Linked DNA regions of Drosophila melanogaster. The protein of the gene in region 1 interacts with the protein of each later gene in a pairwise test. Each region holds a gene or a part of one and is shown on either strand. Other genes may lie near its edges. The genes, in order: CG6845, Rnf146, CG31415 and Tsf2.

Evidence for each region.
Region 2: the proteins of CG6845 (region 1) and Rnf146 interact in a two-hybrid assay, tested with the Drosophila melanogaster proteins (one large-scale study listed by BioGRID).
Region 3: the proteins of CG6845 (region 1) and CG31415 interact in a two-hybrid assay, tested with the Drosophila melanogaster proteins (one large-scale study listed by BioGRID).
Region 4: the proteins of CG6845 (region 1) and Tsf2 interact in a two-hybrid assay, tested with the Drosophila melanogaster proteins (one large-scale study listed by BioGRID).

The regions. Positions count from the first base shown.
Region 1 is NT_037436.4:144,459-149,589, forward strand, and holds CG6845 (uncharacterized protein), read left to right. Parts: upstream 1-1,974; 5' UTR 1,975-2,045; coding exon 2,046-2,248; intron 2,249-2,313; coding exon 2,314-2,624; exon of another isoform or gene 2,625-2,679; coding exon 2,680-2,940; intron 2,941-2,994; coding exon 2,995-3,208; exon of another isoform or gene 3,209-3,271; coding exon 3,272-3,425; intron 3,426-3,477; coding exon 3,478-3,955; intron 3,956-4,003; coding exon 4,004-4,187; intron 4,188-4,245; coding exon 4,246-4,383; intron 4,384-4,436; coding exon 4,437-4,512; 3' UTR 4,513-4,598; downstream 4,599-5,131.
Region 2 is NT_037436.4:19,636,792-19,644,735, forward strand, and holds Rnf146 (ring finger protein 146), read right to left. Parts: upstream 6,026-7,944; 5' UTR 5,877-6,025; coding exon 5,561-5,876; intron 5,234-5,560; coding exon 5,103-5,233; intron 4,428-5,102; coding exon 4,274-4,427; intron 4,194-4,273; coding exon of another isoform or gene 3,697-4,193; exon of another isoform or gene 3,568-3,696; intron 3,528-3,567; coding exon 2,782-3,527; 3' UTR 1,755-2,781; coding exon of another isoform or gene 1,660-1,754; 3' UTR 416-1,659; downstream 1-415.
Region 3 is NT_033777.3:9,741,891-9,745,175, reverse strand, and holds CG31415 (uncharacterized protein), read right to left. Parts: upstream 1,660-3,285; 5' UTR 1,617-1,659; coding exon of another isoform or gene 1,509-1,616; intron 1,445-1,508; coding exon of another isoform or gene 1,314-1,444; intron 1,265-1,313; coding exon of another isoform or gene 1,162-1,264; intron 1,107-1,161; 5' UTR 1,101-1,106; coding exon 627-1,100; 3' UTR 514-626; downstream 1-513. Other genes in the region: CG34409 (uncharacterized protein), read left to right, coding at 1-495, 1,162-1,264, 1,314-1,444, 1,509-1,616, 1,747-2,123; Pnn (pinin), read right to left, coding at 2,957-2,976, 3,208-3,285.
Region 4 is NT_037436.4:12,529,935-12,535,717, reverse strand, and holds Tsf2 (transferrin 2), read left to right. Parts: upstream 1-1,993; 5' UTR 1,994-2,105; coding exon 2,106-2,166; intron 2,167-2,239; coding exon 2,240-2,667; intron 2,668-2,746; coding exon 2,747-2,880; intron 2,881-2,945; coding exon 2,946-3,106; intron 3,107-3,165; coding exon 3,166-3,617; intron 3,618-3,680; coding exon 3,681-3,845; intron 3,846-3,911; coding exon 3,912-4,970; 3' UTR 4,971-5,282; downstream 5,283-5,783. Other genes in the region: CG4069 (uncharacterized protein), read left to right, coding at 1-206; Pmm2 (phosphomannomutase type 2), read right to left, coding at 299-1,063; CG34242 (uncharacterized protein), read right to left, coding at 1,475-1,651; nst (nesthocker), read left to right, coding at 5,683-5,783. UniProt on the Drosophila melanogaster protein: Iron-binding protein and component of septate junctions that form the paracellular permeability barrier in epithelial tissues.

The DNA.
Region 1 (5,131 bases):
GAAAACCATCGATGTCACAAAATCGGTGTTTTTCCAGCTTCACGCTCAACTGTTTAGGTAATTCTAATATACAGTTTAACGCTAATTATCATTATTTATCATTCTCATTATGCTTTTCGTTTACCTATTTGCCCTATAATGAAATGTATAAGACTTGAGCTACCCTAATAAAAGAACGAATTTTAAATTATATTTTTATTTTGTAAGGGCTACCACTAAAAACTCAACAGTCGTTCAAAGATTGTCAAGATTGGCGGTCGTTGTCTCTCCAACTGACTCCAATTGAATGTGTGTAAAACAAGTCTTATACAAAGATATATGTAATAGATGTAAGACAGACTGCAAAGTTTCTTGAAACAAATTAGTTAAATGTTGTAAATGTCTAAGTTGCTACCACTGCTACTACTAGAACGCGCCCATCCCCTCCCATATTTACCTTTAAGCTACAGTAATTAAGTGATGAGCAGAGGTGTAGAGTAAGGAGTCGAAGTTGAAAGAAAGCAAAAAATACATTTTGTACATACATATCGCCGTTGGTCGATATACATCTAAACATAATTTAATTTTTTGTTACTTTTAAGTAAATTATTTTTGGCGACCTAAGTAAATTAAAATTAACGCAATATGCAACAACACACATAAGTATACAATTAATTAAATTAAACGAAAATTACGATTTATTAAACGATGTCATAGAACGGAGAGCCACTGATAGTGAGAGAAATCTGTAAAATAAATATTTAAACAAATTATATATTATCTATATATGAGTACCAGAACAAGAATGTCAAAAAAGAGAAGCATGTAAAAATAAAAAATATATTACGAGTAAAACAAAAAAAGATAATCGAGCGAAAGGAACGTATCATTAACAGGAAAAATTAAAGAAAAATACAAAAACATTTCAAAGTAACAAAATTACGATAAAATTTGTTTTTATTTTGGTTCGTTTGGTTATTACAATTGGCAATATCTAACTGATTGGGTAATAAGTGCGCGTATCCCAGTATCCAACGTTGCAAAATGATACAACATTTCAATAGGTTTCAAAATCTACGTAAGATACACATAAAACGACCTGACTACTTTGTTCTACCCTACGCTTGTGCTGCAGTACCTAAAATCGAAGAAAGAGTACAGTGAACAGGGCTAAGATATAGAAAGACAGCTCTATTTCTGCAATCCAAAAAGGGCTTGCCCTAATTAAAATAATTGCAAATGCATTGCGCTTCAAATCCAGAAGCCTTTTTTACCTTTTATAGCCTACAGGAAAAAAGAAAAAAGAGGAGATAACGGAAAGACCCATAAAATCGAAAAGTGCATAGGTAAACCTGTAGGACGATTAGTGGAATACTAAAATCATCATATGTTTTAATCAATAAGTATTCCAATTTTACCAGGGGCAAGTGTATGCGAATTCTTTCAGTACGAGTATTTAATATATTTATTTTTATCATAATTGTATAAAAACCTGAAGCTCCAAAATAACTTGATCATTTTGAGAAAAATATTAATAAAAATTATTTTTTTGTTTATTTTCTTATTATTTAGTTACATATAATTTTATTTTATGTTTATGTTTTTATAATTTTTATTTTATTATTCATTATATTATAATAAATAGATTCGTTGAATAGTATTAATATTGGATTTGAATGCAGCGATGCGTTTTACGCATTTCAAATCCGAAACTCGCTTAGATCACACGACGTAACTTTATAAGATATATAAATCAAAAATAACTGTTATTTTGAAAGAGAAAAAATGATGTTGTTTGAAATAAAGGAACAAAAAAGCGAAAAACAGAAAAAGCAATCGGTTAAGTTTTAAATTCTTTTTGGGCGCCAAAAATGAATCGGATAAGCCAAAAACAACAAACAATAGGCTTTTCGATTTTAAGAAGGGTCACATTTCCGATAACAATGAAAACTCACATTTAAATTGGTCACACTAAGTGGGGCGCCAAGAGAAAATATCGATATCGATTCCGACTGTTGTGTTAGACTTTACAAATAAATTACAAAGAAATCGATCAAAATAAAATCATGGAAGAAAGTCAGCCAAGGTATGGCGCTATGTGGACATTCAAGCTGGTGGCACCATACGTAATTGGCGGCTACCTATGCGGCCTCGCGGTAACGCTCGCATGGAACTGGTGGCAGCTGGGCCACTTGGTTCTGGGTCTTAATCTCACCTTCGCGATTCCGGTGGCGCTTGTTCTGGCGGTCTTTTACAGCAGGCCCGTAAGGTAAGAACTACCTGAAAAAGCCCAAAACGATTTGTGTCTAACAGTGTTCCCTCACTGGCTGCCAGGTGCATTGTGACTTTGGCCCTTCCCTCGCTGTGCAGCTCTCGGGGAAGGGCGTTCCTCATCAGCCTTGCCTTTGTTATTGCCGCAGTTGGGCCTACGGCGAACATTCTAGCCAATTTGAAGGTGATGCTCCGCAGCCTCGCTTGCGGACAGGAGCTATTGCGTCAGGCGCTTGGCCAGATGTTGGACGTAATACTGGAGCCGGTGAATGCCATCCAGCTAGCGGTGGATCTCTTGATGCGGGAAGTGCGTCGGGTGCTCAAGCTGGCCATGGTAGTGCTGTTACGCATTCAGGACCAATTGATCGCAATTAGTGAGTATCTGTATTAAAAAGTGCTGCAGTTTTCTCTGCTGATTCATTTTTGTAGTTAAAACCCTGAAGAACTGCGCCGCTTGGCTGAAATCCATCGTAGACCTGTGCAACACAGAAATGGGCACTCCCTGGGCACGTTGCAAAAAGACGGCGCATCACGCAATGATCAGGTGCCAGTCAAAGATGGGCGTATTCAAGGCGCTATGCCATGCTGCAAAGCTGTTTCTGGCCCTCTGCTATCCAGCCAAGATCATCGATGTGTTTTGCAGCGGTTACTGGGATCTCAGCTGGGGTCTTCTTGATAAAATCGCAGAACGTGAGAGTGTAAACAACGATCGGTACTTTGGTTATTAGTTATACGATCTCGCAGGCTACCGTGAATTTGTGCGGCACATCGAGGAAATGTTTGATGCCAATATCACTTTTGAGCACGAATTTTTCTTCGATACAAACTCTTCAAAGAGCCTGACGGACGTGGGGGAGGAAATTTTACAGGATATTAACAAGCGTCTGTCGTCGTTTATCTTCTTGAGCAGCTTTGTGGACATTCTCTGCTGGGTCATGGTGGTTACTGTATTTTTTAAGTAGGCAAGAGCTTAATCATCTTATTAATTTAGTGTTGGTGATGCCTCAATTGTTCCCATCAGAGCCACCATCTTCTACCTTCGATATATGCACAGCCGGCAATTTCAGAATGTGTTCTTGACAAAGATACTAAGTGATATCGACCGGCGGCACGAAAAGCACGGTTACGATCCACTGCTACCCCTTCATCAGCTTGAAAGGGCAAAGTATATGAAGGTAAGGTTTCCCTACGTTTCCCTGACATAATATTACAATGATTTCATTGCAGCTTACTAGCTTGCGTTTGACTTTGTTTGAGTTCGTGTCCATTGTTGAGAACGCCTGTTTCATGGCCACAACCTGCTTGCAGTTGTTTGCGATTTGCTTTCTGGATTACGGGCTGTTCTGGCTGTTGGCAACTATATCCCTCCATGGCCACCAAGAGACTGGGCTGGAGGTGCCCGCTTACGTCGATCTAGAGATTAAGGGTGGGGGCTTTGTGGCGGATGTCATGCGGGGAATCGCTAATGCCTTTCGACCCTTGACGCAAAAAAGCATTTTAGACGTGAATCCTTGCCTCCCGCTGCCCGTGAAACCTGATTATGCGGAGTATCTAATTATATTATTACTCTGTCTGCTCGCTTGGCTGATCCTTTTGGCCGAGCCGTATATTTTGCGTACTCGCCATCTTATAATGGCCCACTTTTATCCAAAACGCGCCAAGGAAAGAGGCATGTTTCTGTACAACATGATTTCCGAAGATAGAAGTAAGAAAGTACATACCTTTTAAAGTTGTTCTAATGTATTCTCTCCAGCAAGCATTTTTAAGTTTATCCGCCGCAGAAAGCGTAATGAGTTTAACCACACACGGAATGTGAAGCACACCAGAAACTACACTTGGCTGAACAATAGATTCTCCTGTTTAATGTGCATGTGCTCCTGCTGCTCATCCTGTCAAAGCACTGAGAGGTGCACCATATGTGGCCGATCTCTGACTCTGTAAGTAACTCCAATCGTTAAACACACTCCGGGTTACAGTTGGATGTCCCCTTTTTAGTTCAAATCGTAACCCCTGCGACACTCCTGGATGCAAAGGGGTTTATTGCGGTAAATGCTTTGAAAAGTCACACAATAAGTGTTGTCTGTGCAATCGACCAGTGGATTATGGTGATTTTTCCGACGTTACTGAAGTAGAGTGAGTAAAAACCAGGGTTTAATCGACTATTCTTAATGGTTTTGTTTGTGCAGCGACTCTTCGGACTATTCTGAAAAAGAGTCTTTTAGCGAAAGGCAGTACAGGAAGACCTGTGGAGGACAACGCTAGCAACGAGGGAAAAACAGTTAAACATAGAGGTTGTGAGCGCATACACGTTATGCAGATAGCTCAGAAATATAATATTTCCACCTATTAAATACCTGATATTCCAACAATTTAATATATGGTTATAGGTGAGTTATTCAATAAAAATAACTCTTGTTATTGCTGATCTGATGTCAGTGCAATTCCTACCCTTCACCGCCCATGGAAGTCGCAATACGGGGACTGCGTTGTTTGGCGAGCTTCTGGGCTGAAATTATTATTTAATTAAATACTACAGCGACAAATGGCTACACAGCAATTCAGAAAATAACCTTGTTCTCACCCCTGTTTTCGATTTTTTCTTTTTTATCAAAGGCTTGTTTGCTTGATACCTATTTTTATTTCTTCTTGGGCTATGACTGTAACGTGCTGTTGAACATCTTCTCATTATTGTTGACTTTCTCTTTACGACTGTTTAATAAATTCTGCTCTTCCCCCACATGCGGCTTCCATTTACCAAGCTTATACGAGCATTTATTATATAACACCCGTCGACTTGCACCGATCCCTCTAGACCCTATATCGACCCCTATCCACTTGACCACCATCGTTGACAGTCAACCACACACACTCGAAAAACAAT
Region 2 (7,944 bases), about 19 Mb from region 1:
TCATACCCACAGAGGACTGATCTCTTTGGAGAACATGTTAGTGGGTGGGGGCTTTTCTACATCGTGGAAAATACTTAGCGAATTCAGCGATCAATTGTATATTTACATAGTTAGAATTTCCATAGCATATATTCAGCGATCAATTGTATATTTACATACTTAGAATTTCCATAGCATATAATATTCATAATAAATGTCTCTACTATGAATTGGAAAAGCATTATTCTATACACGAAATATTTCGAAATTAACAACTTATTATTATGTTACGTACATATGTATAAAAATATTACCTTTATCACCCATGATAACAGCATAACGCCATAAGTATATAAGATCTTTTTGTCGCGGTGTATCCTTACCAATCACACAATCCACTTTTCCCTTCTTAGAGCCACCTCCCCCCTTCCACGTTATCAACAAATACCTTTTCTTGTATGTTCTGACCAATAAATTGTTATGCTGCCTGCGTGCGGCTCAGGCGTTTTCTTTTGGTCCATTGCGCATGAGTCATAGGGTTTCACGCATTTGAGGGACACCGAGGGCCAGTATCTCCCAGGGTTCCAGTTCCATGTCCAGGGTGCAGGTTCCATGCCCGTCAATCAGTGCCACTTGCGAGGGGGAGGGGGTATATGATCTCAACACAAGAATTGCCTTTAACAAGTCTAAGTTAAGGGTAGTTGAGGATCATTGAGATAAGGATCTTGTTGGTATTGTTGTGAGAACAATAATAGTGTATCAATGGAAGATTGGAATATCTCTTTCTTTTGTGCTTCAAAATAATGAATCATTTTGTTTAATATCTATTTGTTAGGAAAGTTATTTTTTTCACTTTGCCTTTTTTAAAAAAGGAATCCAATATGGTCAATTGGTTATAACACACTTTCTTTTTAAAGCTGCCATCATGGAAAACCTTTTAAATATGTTCCTCAATGTACGCAGTTCTGATCTAGAAATTTAATAAAGAACTGAGTTTCTTGAAATAAAAAATGTAAATATTTATTACTTCCATTCGCAGACAAGCGAGCATTAAAATAATATTTCACAAAGGTTTTGTGGTTTTTTTTATTGCCCAACTTAAATACATGTCCTAGGAGCTATTCTTACAAATGTGATCTTGCACAGAAGCCAGATCTCTAATCGACATTTATCGGATTCAGCAATATCTATTACTTAACATCTTGTATAAACTAAGTTGTAAATGCTTAATTCATTAATTAAATGTAATTATATTAGACGACAGAAAATGCTACGTGCTGTTTATTAGAGTTGCCTTATCAGTGCTGTCAAAAATACCGGAGCGAGTGCTGTTCAATAAATGTTTCTTGGCACATTTGGTTTTGATTTAATTGTTGAAAAGCTAAATGATTATTAAGTACGAATCGAATTGTTTAGAAACTGCCACCATAGGATAGGAAAACCATATCGAAAAGGCTCTGTATTCCAGATATGCAATGCAAATGATTGTAATTAAGACCATTTCATTCATTGTCAGTTATGGAATAGCAAATGTTATCAAAATCCAGTAAAATGCGCAATGGAAAATGCCAGAAAGTATTATGAGGTTGACAATGAGTTGCGGTGAAATCAATTTGAGGTTTAATTTTAAAACTGCTGTTGATATTACCAGGAGGGGCTTTTCGAAGTCGGGAGTCGGGTTCAGTAGAGCTTTAGGTATACCGTAGATATTAGGGAAGCAACGAATACGCACTTCGCTGTTAGAAGTAATGGCGGAGTACATATCGAAAACGAATCTATAAATAGTAGTCACAAAATTGAGATTATTAAATCGGGCGTATATCGTATCCGTAGCACATAGTTGTAGTATACAACATTAGGTCTGTCTAACAATTTTCCTTTAAATCTATTATTTAAAGCAACTTAGAGTATACAAAATATCAATATATTCAACTGTCACAGAAATGTTTTTGTTTAACGCACTTCACGGCGACTTAATAATTAATACTGCATCTGATTCCCCTGATGACAGTGCGCTTCGAAAACAGCTTGCATTAATTTAAATCTAAAAACTGTGTCAGAACATAGATACTGTGGAAAGTAAGTCAAATTAAACGATTCCGATTTAAGAAACGCACTGAATATCAATTATGTGAGTGGGAACTTCCTGCTAATTGAACTCACATGTCTAGTTAATCCCAATTCATAAATATTGTCTTTTTCACACTACTCTTTCTTGGTGGAGGAGCTTATATTTACTTTTGCCAGCTTGCAAATGAGACCATAGGGAGGGTTAACTTTCCGAATTCTTGTAGAACTCTTGATTTTGTAATTATTATGTACAGGTTAATTCAGAGAAATCCTATTCGGAGGTCTTACAGAGATTTCTTAGAGCATTACAGGCCACACAAATGGATTCAACCAATGCCACTGCTGTCCTTACCATTTCCTACTAAGAATACCATTTTTTTGCTTTAATTGGGTTAAGTTTGTTTGGGGAAAATTGAATATCGTATTAAATAGATTATTTATGTTTCTGCTGTAACGTCTATGTTTCAATATCTGATTTTATGTTTTAAGGAATATGTTTGTTTACCCTGTAGACATTCTTTTCTATTTTTTCTATTTTTCCTGTTCGACGCCCAACGCTCTGAGCCTATGGTTATATATGTTAGTTGATATATTCTCAGGTACGCGCTGCATTTCTCTAGTTAACATTCCCCTTCCGTATATCGAAATCTGCTTAAAGGAACATTTGATATTTTCTTTAAATGTATCGATTAGGCGAGCAACAATATAAGCTTTCTGGTAAGTAGATTATTTCTAAAATCTCTGGGGATTATCGTTGGACTGTGGCTGCTCGCCCGCCTCCAGCTGCTCCCGTTCCCGCAGCTCATGCTCCTGATCCTGGTCGTTGTTCTCCTCATCGCTGGAGTCAACATAGTTGCGCATGGCCAGCGCCTGGAAGTCGTTCAAGGCCTGCTCGAAGAGATCAATGGTGTGCTGGTTGTGGGCAATCACCTGTTGGGTGTTCCTCAGGTCACGCGTGATCAGATCCTGCATGGAACTTGAGGCAGGCGAGGAGGCAGGCGAGCGCCCTGCATCGTTTGAATTTGTGGAGTTGGATTGCTCACCGCTGCTGCTGAGATCATCGTTGAGATTGCTAGCCGTCAGTCCCCGAGTTAGTTCATCTGCATGAGCCAGCGTTGAGCCTATTATGTCGCTAGCGATTCTAATGGCCGCATCTGTGGCTGCTATGGTGGATATGAAACTGGAGGCAGCTGCTGCCACGGTGGTTGGATTGGCTGTGTTGGTTGGCCTGCTGAAGACGGTGTCGCTGGTCACCTGGTTGCCTTCGATCCGCAGACCGGCCACCCCCTTTTTGGGTATGGTGGCTAGGTCTCGCTTAACCCTCCGGCAGCGAGTGGGCTCATTCTGGCGCTGCTGGACTAGCTGCTCCAAGTCCACAATGTAGACGTAGCCGGCTACCAAAATTGTACAGGATTTGTCGCCCTTCTTAAAGGCATCTTCGATGTCCTGACTAGTGCGGTCATCGTACTGCCACCAACCTATAGTTAAACATTTTGACAAGAAAGAAAAATTCGGAATGGAATGGAATCGGTCCAATTCTTTTCGACGATTTGGTCATTTAATTACAGTTTGTTATTACGGAAATGGATGTGCGGAATGGGTAAGGAGTTAGGTGTTGTCATTAATTATTAAAGTGTTCTTGTATTTTTAGTTCTGGCTCAGTCCAGCAACTCCTCTCATTCCGCCAGAAACGTCATCCGTGCTCTTGCAGCGCATTATATTGCGGCTCTTTTCTGGAGTCAAGCGGAGATACTGTAAATTCTGCAAAAAGTCGATGATGTACATACGCCCGCAGATCTGAATGGGCAGTGTGCATGGATGCGGCCTAATGATGTTCAGCTCATCGGGGTCTAAGCTCATAATATCGTCCAATGATAGGGCTGGCGAGTCCCGACCATTGTTTTCGGAAGAGGCTGGAGCGCCCTGACCAGATGAACGAATAATGGTTGGGTATATAACAATTTCTGAATCGGCATTGTAGAAAATAATATTTTCGTCACACAGACAATAGTGATTGATAGGGTTTGGACAGTCCCGATCAAATAAAGGAGCAAGCTCAGGGTTATCTGCCTTGAATATCTCAAAGCCAGCATAGGCGATCTCGATGTCTGCATTGGTCCGAGAATCGTACGCCCACCAGCCCCCTAGATGGGTTTAGTGCGTGAAGGATTTGGGGTTTATGGGAATGAGGGACGGCCGGCACCAAAAGCTTAATTATACTCACCGTTTCTTCCCTCGTAATACCACTGGAAGCCGTCCTCGGTCGCGCGAGTGGTGCAGATGTCCTCAATGCCATTCACCAGCTGGGGATGGTCCAGGAACTCGGCGGGAATCTCGCGACGGCACATAGCACAACGGCGGTTCTTATAAGCAACACCCTGGAAAGCGTAAAATGACCAATGAGAAATTAAAATTTGATTCGACATCGCTATGTGTTGAAAAGCAATTGTAATTTCCTAACACATAAAACTTAACAAGAAGCGAAAATAATACATTTCAGAAAAGCATCTTATCATTAGCGTAAAAACGCAAAAATACGATCATACCAACCTAAGACCTTTACCCCACATTAAGTACACTGGAATAAAATATGAGGTCTTTTACCTCAACCAAAAAATAACAACTTGTGTTAAACGTTATAAGCATAGATGAAGTTTACAAAACTAAGGAAGTTGGAATCGCCTCTCTAAACCAACACTTTCCCACGACCAAACATGTTTCTGAACAGGAAAATGCACTCGAGTGCTAATTGGAGTGGTAGTCTTAGGCTAAAACTGGTTGAAATTGGCAGGAGATTGAGACCAATTGACAAGTCGTCAGCCGGAAGCCAATCTAATGCCATAATTTCTGGTCAGCCGTGTTCGGTTGGCATGCTAATCAATCAGTGAAACCAGCTGTCGCACCAAAGGGTTAAGAACAGCCTTGAACTTGGCTACGTGCTGTGGGTGATTTTGCTGATCGGGAATAATATTCAAGAAAAGCGAGTTTGAATGTGAATTGAATGACTAAGTGGCCACGAAAGGCTTCCGCTTTCGGCTTTCTGGGCTACCTACCTTCACGCACAAAAAGCAGAAGATGTGGCCACAGGGGAGACGAGCTGGGTGGATGCAGGTTTGCAAACAGATGGGACACTCCAAGGCAGCGGCCGCTGCAGAGGGGGAATCTTCGCCAGAAACGGCTGCCGCTAGAAATTGAGTTAATTGAAATAAGTTAAATCAAATAGAATAAGGATTAAGGGATATATGAATAATAACGATGCAAAAGTATAACTCTTGTGCTCTCAATAATATTATAGAATATTATTGTGCTAGTGAGTGCAAAATAATCTGTCATAATTCATAATTCCTTCTAGTATTGCTTTGAAATGCTTTTAGGAAGTCCTTCAAATTTGATTTCGTACATATGTATATGTACATATGCGTGTGTATGCGCTCTAGGAATAGTGCAAGTGTATCCTAAAGCTTTATAAAAGCAAAGGGAACTTCTTGTGGCGAAAGGCAACTTTGCTTACCTGCATCCACACCGGTGGCTAACGCTCCTTCGTCAGGCGAAGAAGCAAGTGAATCGGTATCCGAAGCAGCAGCTCCAGATGCGGATCCAACCGCCGGATCCTCGCCACTTCCGCCTCCTGAGTGGGCTGCAGCTGCCGCCGCCGCAGCAGCAGCAGCAGAAGTGGAGGGCGAGACGCAAAGATCGATGACTGGTGCGGTGGGACGCAGAGCTGCAACGAATTGCACATCCGTATCCTCGTCGTCGTCCAGCGCTATTACATCGCTGGTGTTGTTGTTGCTAGCTGCAATCTGCTCTGTGGAGCGCTGTTGCGACATGGTCGGATTGGATCGATTTCGTCAACAGCGGGGAAATCGAGCTGTTGTCGTCGACGTTGAGTTTTAAATTTTCACAAACAAACTTGAAACAAAAAATTGTTGCTGCCTGAGTATGACCAGCTCGGGCTGACTTTGAATTGCTAATGTCATCGACAAAAATACTACATTCGTTTCGGTATGACCGTTGACTGTATTTTCAGTGCTGCTAAGTTCTGAAATGGCGCCAATGAATTTATTTAAATATTATTTTCAGTCTTTGAAAAGTAGAGTCATTTATAGTTGCAAAATTGAAAACTTGTAATTATTTAAAAAAAAAGCTTTTGGTTATAGGATAATAAACTTATTTATTCCATTTTTAACGGTCAATAAAAGACCAACATTTAATAAAGATTATCCTAAGATAAAAGTATTTATAAAAAGTAAATTTTTTAAAATTTATTAAGCAGTTTATTATTTTATACATTTAACAAAGTACTAGAGAATGCCTTAAATCGAACTAACTTATATTCGGTCGAAAATATTTCTAAATTAATTGGCGCTGCTTTATTACCTGCAGCCGCCGCTTTAATAATGCTATATTAAATTCACAAAAACCAATTAAAATTATGCGCTTCATTACACGAAACACCTCTCGCAGCGAACTGCCATAATATTTATGTATGTATGTATGTATATCCCACCTTCATTGAGAATTTAACTTCATAAAAATTGACAGGCCTTCGGCCAGCGTTTTTGACCAGCGAAGGCATCACGCGCTTTTTAATATGCAGCCGGCGTGCGACAGGCCAAAAAAAGTGACACACAACAACAGGCAGTTGCAGTTGTCCTGCACAGGACCTTCGCACTCATTACATAAAAATCAATTTTTGGTTTATTTCTGCACTCGCCCCGCCCCACCACGCAATTGCATGTCATTTTTTGCCAATTACACCCACACCCGCACACTCGCGGCCAATTGCCTAATTGCGCGACGGCCAAACGCGTTGAAGTCAACTGGCGACGAGTTTTGTAAATTACTCTCGTTCTGCCAGCTTCGATCCTGCGACTCTGCGACTGCGAATGTGATGTCCTGCCGGGCTGTTTCATGCACGTGTCCCTTTGGGCGTTTTAAAAATGTGTTGCCCATCCTGGGATGCCACTCATTCGACGTGATTTGCCTTGGGGAATGTGTATTTACAGAAAGACAGCGAAAAAAGTATCTATAGTATCCAGAATTTAGACCACAAGTTTACCTGGTATTAACTCATATGCGAGTATTAAAGCCAATATAAATTACTTAATATTTAAACCATATTCCTTTGACACTAATACATTAATTAGTTGCTAGTTGTAACACAAAAGTATTCTATTATATTATTTAAACTATTAGCATCAGATTAACATGCAGTTTTACTTTAATTATGGTAATAGGAATATATATATATATATATATATATTTATTTTAATTAAATTTACGCACATCGACTCGAATCCAGCATACCCATCACTATATCATTCGAAGTGCACACACAGCAACTACTTAATATGCACGGCGAGTCCTTGAACTCTCGCCACTCAACCCTTTATCCTGTGTGCTCGTTTCGGCACTTGGTTTTTTGTCATAATTGTTCTATGTTGTGCACAATTGAATTTTTATTTGCCAGCAAACGATCGAGAAACAGAAGAAGAAATTTAAATGATGATTGCCGTGGCTCATTGTTTCATCGCTCTGTTGGTCCCAAAAATGTAAATAACCATAAAAAGTAACCCGCAGAAATAAAGGAGAAGAAAACCTCAAATCTTAATGTAATTACAACGGTGGACGCCTCAAGATTATTAACACAAAAGAGGGTCGTCATAAGCATAAAAATATTGCCCCCCCTCCCCAGCATGGCAGATTTCGTCAGCCTGTTTTTTTTTTTGTTACCATAAAAAAGGGCGAATAGAAGGAAATTTCCTGGCTGCCGCTGTTTGCACCCTCGTTTTGTAATAAGCTACTTTTGCATCTGGCCTATTGCTCTTTATTTTATCATTTGCTGGCTTGTTCCTTGCTCCCCCTTAAACATTTTATTATACCCATTTTTTGGGT
Region 3 (3,285 bases), on another chromosome or scaffold:
ACAAGGGCAGCCGGCACTCCCACACACACGGGGATTATCTGGAAGCGGAGACCAATCTGCATGACTACTGGAACTTCGAGGAACAACGCAATTGTCCCCAGCCCGTGGAACCAGAGTTCTTCGACCGACGGTTCGCCTTGGGACACCACTTTCTGTATCATGTGGAGCACGAAGAACGGGATACATTACTGCGACCCGTGCCAAAGGATAAGCCCATAGTATTTCCCGGGGACCTACGCTTCCAGCGGCAGGGAGAGGAGGCAATTGACTCCAACATAGATCAAGGTCCGCCCCTGGCGCCGTTTACCACAACATTAGCTACACCAATTGAAACAATTCCTGCTTCTTTATCCACAACAACCGCATCGATGCCACCTTTCGCACAGGAGAACACCCAAGGATGTGGGATAAATGTAGAGAGCCGACTGCTGGGAGGAGATCAGGCTAGTGCCGGACAGTTTCCCTGGCTGACAAGGATCGCTTATCGCAACCGAAGTAAGTACATCTTATGTTAGGCTAAATACGCAATTTCGAATTTATTTTACCCAACGCAACGCCTCTTAAATGCTCTTAAACTTACTCCGCATTGGAGATCTGAGCCGGGCCCAATGCCGTCCTGTCTGCGCTCATCCAATTTCACTGGCCACAATAACCATTTTTAATGTAAGGTAGACGCCGACGGCAAAGAGCAGAGCAGCCAGTCCCAGAGCCTTGGGTCCGCGATTGTTTGGTGGGGCACTCAGCCCAAAAGGTCCTCCTCCGCCTCCACCACCGCCATTGGGAGCATTTCTGCCTCCGGGACCACCACTACCTCCAGGGCCATTTCTTCCTCCAGGGCCACCACCTTTTCCTCCAGGGCCACCTCTTCCTCCAGGGCCTCCCTTACCGCATTTATTGCACTGCTGTCCGCCGCAAGGTTTGGGGCCACACGTTCCACGCTTTTGGGGCGGGCCCCCTCCACGACCACCTGGGCCGCCTCCACCGGCACCAGGGGCACCTCCACCAGCACCTGGACCGCCCCGTGAGCCAGGAGCTGGGCAAGAATCAGGGTTGTTGCTCTGAGGTGGTAGACTTCTTCCTGAACAAGGGCAAGCGCACATGTTGAGCTGAAAACAAGAAAAAATCTTTATTCTTACAGAAGTTTTACGATAATATTTTCAGGCAGCAGCCGCATTAGCTTTCGCTGCTCCGGATCCCTGATATCCAGCAACCACATCGTAACTGCCGCCCACTGTGTGGTCAACCTAGTCAGCGATTTGGAACTGTAAGTCTAAAGCCTAATTAAATCTTTTGTAATCCACGCTCTTTCGTAGGTCCCATGTTCGATTGGGAAGTCAGGATGGGGCGACTCCGTTTGCCATCGAGCAGGTTATAGTTCATCCGAACTACGACCAGCCCAAGTATGCAAATGACATTGCCCTCCTACGAATCAACAGCACTAATGGTAAGAGATTATACTCCTATCCTAGGTCAATGATTACGCTGAATAACCACCACCAACCTTGCAGGCACTTTCACACCCATATGCTTACCCTTCAACGGGCCAATCACACTGGGAAACAGGCTGATAGGACAAATTGGAGTGGCTGCTGGTTGGAGTATTGGGAGTACTGAAAGTTAGTCTCGAAACAACTTTATATCTGATCTGTTACATTTTTTAACTTACTATCAATGCGATCGAAATATAATTCAGTGCATATTAGGTTTTAAATGTATATAACATTCTCTACTACAAATTTTATCCAGATAATAGTTCGATGGACCCCTCAAACTCCACCGCTGGGGTGCGCTTCATCCGTTTGCCCATCGTGAACACCACCAGTTGCGCCATCGCCTATGCCAGTCTCAGTGAGAACTTCCAGCAGCCTATTGTGATTACTCCCAACCACCTGTGCGCCCAGGGAATGCCCATGAATGACGTGTGCCGAGGCGATAGTGGCGGCCCCTTTATGGACGACGGTACCTCCGGCGTCTTTGGAACAAGTGGACGTTATACGATCATCGGCATCGTGGCCTTTGGACCGACGCTGTGCGGCGTGACCACCATTCCGGGGGTCTACACCCTGGTGAGTAGCTTCTCCGATTGGATACTGCGAAGCATCGCCGAAGGATCTGACCAGTGAGCGGTCGTGTTGGGAACCCATCCCTAGCAAATTACATCCAAAGCTTCCAATGCCAAAGTCTTCAGAATACATCGACGTAAAGAACAATGATTCATACATTCTACGGATAAATACAAAAATTCGGTTCCACTTCAAATCACCTAAATTTCAATAAAATGTACGTGTATAACAATCGTATTCATCAAATTTGTATTTTTCTACTGTATATGGCGGATGTCAATGCTCTCATTTTATTTTCAGAAAAACAATGTTCTTTTTTTACACGAATACAGTACAAGAATCAGAGGTTAACATATTATTTTTTCATTAATTGCTTCTGACTACTGGTCTTAATTAATAATGTTAATAGACGGCGAAGAAGGTATAATTATCTTATAAGAGTTCTTAACTTATCGCTTAAAGAATTATAATTGTTTTAACGCCTCATTTTAAATTAGTTACTTCCTCAAACAATTTGGAAGCGAGAATAAAATATGTGATTTAGCTTCAGGATGATTATATCTATAAATACATAATTAGGTATTTAATGTTCCTATTTCGCGATCCAATATCTTGCGTGTAAAATATTTTTTAGTTTTATTTACAATTTTACAAATTCTTTTGAAAGATACAAATATAGCTTGCTTGCAGTAAACAATTTTTTTTTTCCAAGTTTTATTTCTAGTAGGACATAAATAATGGCAATAAAGAATAACTGGTTTTGTCCACAAATTGATGTTCTTAAACACCCCTTCATTCGGTGAAGTAAAACAATTGCTTTTGCAAATAATTTGTTAAATTGCATTAGTTGTAATCCTTTATTCCTAGAATAGCATCATTTACTTTTGGGTACTTTACTTAACGTATAATAAAGCTGCAATAAAAACAGGAAGTAGAACATTGAAACAAAGGTATTTGAGTTGATAAATACGATATAACTTTTAAATGTAATCACCGCATTGTAATTTATTTGCTTAAGATCTGGTTTTTGTATTATAAATTAAAGTTTCATAAATAAGTTTTATAAATTGAAACCCAATTGCCCTACACAGCGATATCCGCACGATCATATTTCAAGCCCTAGTGCAAACTGAAGTTTACTTACACTTATCCAACTGCTCTTCGTCGTCAGGCTCTTCATAGAAACTTTCGTCTATTGCAGTATCGTCTTCCATCTTCCCAA
Region 4 (5,783 bases), about 12 Mb from region 1:
GTGGCATCTTCGAAGAGGACGACAAGCAGTTGACCTACAACGATTTCTACGCCCTGGACTTGCACAAACTGGAATGGAAGGTGCTAATCCCCAATAGCTTGAAGGGCCACGAATGGGAGGATAGCGACAGCAGCAGCTCCGACGAGGAGTGCAGTGGCAGCGAGGAGGATATCTCCAGCAGCAGCTCGGACATGGACACGGATTAAGAATTTCCAGTGACTATATATTAAATTTGGTTAACAATTGTACACATGTATAAAAATGGAATATTTTCAACTGCTGAGTAAGCTCGAAATTCTCACAGCTCCAGAATCTCGGTGAGAATGCGTTGCGTATCCTTGGGAGTATATACCCTATGGCTGATGGTTCGAGGATCGCTATAGATCTCATAGTCATTGCCGCCCGGCTCCGTTTTATCGCCAAAGAAGTGGATTTCCTTGAACTTGTAGTGCGCTTCGATGTGTCGCAGGCAGTAGGTCTTGTCCCAACCATGCGGGAAGACATCGAAGCTGATCTGACCACCAATCGAGTACGTGAGATCCACATCGGCAAACTCCTGCTTCAGGTCCTTGATCATTTTCTCGCGCACCTTGTGCTCAATGTCGTACTCGGCGAACATGTTGCGCTCCTCCCGAGTGCACTGCCTGCCAATGGGACAAACGTTCATCATGCCATTCCGGAATTCGATAAAGGTGCCCCTCTTGATGGGCACATCCAGTTCGGACAGATAGCGCAGCACAAAGTTGATGAAACGCTTCACCGTCTCCTCGCCCAAATGCATGATGATATTCTGCTTTCCCACCTCCTTTCCGCCCTCAATCTGCACCAGCCCATTTTCCGGGAATATGAAGTCGAACTCGTTGAGTATCTTCCTGCCATTCAGCTGCTCGAACATCTTCTCCAGATCCGAGCCTCCGACGATTCCGATGGTCGCCCTCGGCTTAACCCGCGAGTAGAAGAACTCCTCGAACTCCGGAGTGACCACGGATCTGGGCATCGTTAACGTGCCGTCCACGTCGAAGAGCAGCAGGATTTCATCACGCTTCAATGCGGCGGTGGTCATTTTGCATTTAAATTTTGTGGTAAATCAGCAGGTGTTTAATATCCAGATATTTATGTCCACGTATGATTCGAGATAAAGAATTTTACAAGCGGCAACGCAGTGGTGAGAAATCCCCTAAAGCTTTCGATGCACCGGCAAGGGGAACCAGTTCCGGAATCCAAGTGCAATCAAAATTAATGTTTTGAATTGCCTTTTACGTTAGGTTTACTATTTAAAACAATGAGAGTATAAACATTCAAGCACAATCATTTGGATTTTCCTGCATGTATAGGTAACAGTTTAATTCATGGAGTTCATGCTGTCAGGGTACAAATAGTTTCTATTTTAATAGCAATTTGTACATTGCAGTTCTTTATCAGGCAAACTAGAATACACATATTTGGGTTCTTAAGTGTAGCATAACAGGGGGTTCTACTGCCTTTTAATGTGCTGCAGTTCATCTCTCTTGATTTTGCTGTATTCCTGCAGGGTTTTGTATTTCTCAGTGTTAACCATGGGGTCCACAATGACGGGGTATAGGGTGAGGCCCACGGCGCCCACGATGCAGGACACGAATCCAACGAATCTCCAACCACGCAGGACTGCCATTTAGCTAAAATATGGAATATTTTAGCTGACTTTTCGGTTTGTTATTATAAAACACAAAACACCTGGTTGACCGTAAGATGCTAGAAAACGCCAAGTGTGTGGTCACACTACTGTGGTCACCGGTGAAGTGCAGTAAATACTACAGAAGAGATAACCTGATAGAAAGTAAAATATAAATAAACAAGATTACTGTATATATAATAAAAATAGATATAGGTATAGATTAAACTAGAAATATCCTGAATGCTAAATATGTTTCTTGATTCATATCTCACTTAAGCATTCTCCACTGTGTGTACCTGTTGGTATTTTTTGAAATCATGTCTATTTCTGCCCGCTCTGGTTACACTGGCTTCCTTGAGCTGGGCTTGGGTGTGGTGTTTTGTTTGAGTAATTGTTTTTGCAGATAGATCTTTTTAGTTAATACACTTATTAATATTCTTATATCCCGAATATGGCTAGCAGCCTCGTTTTTGTGGCTCTAGTCGGCGCCTTATGTTTTACGCTCGCTAACGGTAAGTTGCGGCTGGAATACGAAAGTCGCCCATTTCTAGGGCGTTGGCATGAGTTAAAACCACGATTTTGCAGCACAACATCACTACGATGAGCACAAGACCACACGGATGGTGTGGTGCACCAAGAGCCAGGCGGAGCAGTACAAATGCCAGAACCTTACGGTGGCCATCGAGCGGGATCGGGCACTATTCGACGAGGTGTTCCTCAATCTCACCTGCTTCATGGCCTACAGTGCGGATGAGTGCATCCATCACATTGATCGCGAGAAGGCACACATCACCACGCTGGATGCGGGCGATGTCTTCACTGCTGGACGGTACAACTCCCTCATACCCATTATGCAGGAGAAACTGGAGGGCGGCTTTGCGGACTATCAATCCGTAGCCGTGATCAAGAAGGGATCTCTACCAGACTTGAACAATCTGCGCGACATGCGCAACAAGAGGGTGTGCTTCCCCTGGGTGGGCAGCTTGGCCGGTTGGATTGTGCCCATTCACACGGTGAGTAGAACTCCTCTTTTAAGTTGATTGTTTATTTGTTTCATTAGGCAACTAACAAACAAATTTTATCGTTTTGCAGCTCCAAAGGGAGGGCGGCATGGAAGTGGTGGACTGCAACAACCAGGTGAAGACGGCCGCCAGCTATTTCAATAATTCGTGTGCTGTGTACTCGCTTTCCGACAAACACAATCCAATTGGCGACAACTCCGATAAGTAATGACGCATAAAAGCCACAATTTTACACACATTAACTAACAACAAATCAATTTTCAAACCAGACTTTGTACGCTTTGCACTGGAAAGATACCCGGAGGACGCTGCTCATCTGCAGATCCCTACTTCGGCTACGAAGGCGCCTTCAAATGTCTGCTTGAAAAAGGAGATGTTGCCTTCTTGCGCCATTCGACTGTGAATGAAATGCTGCAAACCACCGAATTCAGTGAGTTACCAAAGGGAAACTTCTGAAAACCCATTACTGATCTAAGCTGCGTTTTTTAGAGAACATAGCACCCGACACTTTTGAGCTGCTGTGTCGTGATGGTCGTCGTGCCTCCATCAACGATTATCGCCAGTGTAATTGGGGCCAAGTGCCCGCCGATGCCATTGTCACATCTTCGGCTCGCAGCTTCAGCGATCGCAAGCAGTATCAGCAGTTTTTGAAGCGCATTGCCGAGCTGTACTCCGATGGCACACGTGATGATCAGAGCAGGCAGGGAGGACAAAGCTTCAACAGCCGCAACAACATCAACGATCAGAATGCCTATGGCCAGTTCGATAATAATGATCCGTACAGAACGCAGAATCAATACGATCAGTATCGCAGCGAACGATTGGACAGCAGTTTTGCAGAGGAAAGAAACCAGCAGGACGGCACGAACACTTCCATACTCTATGAGAAGTTCCGCATCTTCGAGTCGAAGCGCTATGGCAAGCCAAATTTGCTGTTCCAGGTAAGTGGATCATATTTTCCGTGATCCGAAATACATACTTAACATTCAATTGTTTTGTGACAGGATTCTAGTCGCGCTCTAACCGTGATTCCCGAAGATGATCAGTCATTTACCAAGTACCTAGGCCCTGCCATTAACTTTATCTACGGCATCCGTGAGTGTCCAGTTCCAGCGATGACGCTTTGCGTGACTTCGGAGAATGAGCTTGATAAATGCATCAAGATGAGGGTGAGTTGAAGAGTGAATATATGGATAGCAAGATGAGTTGATGATCCTTTACAAAAACACTTTTAGACTGCCTTGAAAGCTCACCTCCTGAAACCAGAACTCATCTGCAAGAAAATGCACTCCCACATCAACTGCATGCAGTTCATCGAAGCGGGCAAAGCAGACATCTCCGTTTTCGATGCCGGCGATGTCTACACTGGTGGCCTCAACTACGACCTGGTGCCCTTCATGTCGGAGGTGTACAATCTGGGCGAGCCCGAGTATTATGTGGTTGCCGTGGCCAAGGAGGATGATCCCGATACGGAGCTAACTTACCTGAAGGGTAAGAATACCTGCCATACGGGCATTAACACCGCCGCTGGCTGGACATATCCGATGGCGCTTTTCATCTCGAACGGCTGGATTCGTCCCTACGGATGCGATTCGGTTCGAGCTGCCGCGGAGTACTTCACCAAGTCGTGCGTGCCGGGTGCCATTAGCAATGAGTACAACACCGGTGTGCCCTACGACAGCATGTGCGATCTGTGTCATGGAACTAGCTATCGCTATTGTCGTCGCGATGCCTCCGAGGAATACTACGGGCACACGGGTGCATTCCGTTGCCTCGTCGAGGGCGGCGGTCACGTGGCCTTCATGAAGCACACCACGGTGATGGAAAGCACGGGCGGCAAACGCAAGGAATGGTGGGCCAGGAATGCCCTAAACGATGACTTTGAGCTGCTCTGCACGGATGGTACTCGTGCCGAGATCCAGGACTACAAGCGCTGCAATCTGGGCAAGGTTAAGGCCAATGCTGTGGTCACCCGCGGCGGAGTCAACTACAACGAGACCCAGATGAATGCCTACATCAATCTGCTGACCTATGCCCAACAACTGTACGGTCGCAAGGAAGTGGACGCCTTCAGTTTCAGCATGTTCTCCTCGCCGATCGGGCACTATGATCTGATCTTCCAGGACGCCACGCGGCAGCTGCAAGTAATTCCGCCCAATAAGCGCAGGTATGATGCCTATTTGGGCAGCGATTTTATGCGAGCACGCCGCATCACCGACTGCTATGCTGGTGCCTCCCAGTTGGCATTATCCGTGGGCCTGCTCCTCGTGGGTTCGCTGGTTGCAATGCTCTAAGCCACTAGACTCACTTAGATTTCAGAATTCTACAAGCATCTCTAGCACAAAGAGAAAACATATCAACATTTTTACATTCCAAATATGATTAAGTTAAATGTGAAATCCCTTCCGTCCGAAAATGAAACTCTAACTAGCCGAAAAATATCTGTTGAAGGCTATAGTTTATAATTTATAAAGTCCTGTGCCTTATTATAGTATTTGTTTGTGTACATACCAACTAAGACCGTCCAAAAAATGTACCTAGGAGATGTAAGCCGAATCTTTTACAACCGCTTATGTAAGTATACAAATAAAATAACTAGATAAAGGAGTTATTTTGCTTATTTTGAATTAGTATCATTTGAAGAATCCTAATATCTTGACCGCAATTGTAGCCGCCAAATTCAAATTGAATATGTGCGCTAACATCGCTTTGAAACATAGATGTTATTGAAATTTACGCTGGTAAATATTGCATTTAACCTTAAAACACTCTGTATTGTTTATAAAGCCAGTAAAATGTTTGAAATTAAAGAAAATAGCGTAGTTACAAGTTTCAGCGCAGTGTGACCGCTTGGCCGCATAAGCAAGGGTGGAACAGTGCCGCGAAACGACGGTCACACCCGCCTGCACACATCTGTGGAATTGTTAAATTTCGAAAGTCCGGAAAAACCGGACGGAACCTTTCACCTCGCTCTGGACCAGTGGCACCGCCCTCGAGTATCGCAAGATGTCTATTAACCTGCGCACCGTCTACGCCTTCGCCCGCGAGATGTACCCAAAGACCTCCAAGGAGACCATCCAATATGGAACAGCTGGCTTTCGCGGCAA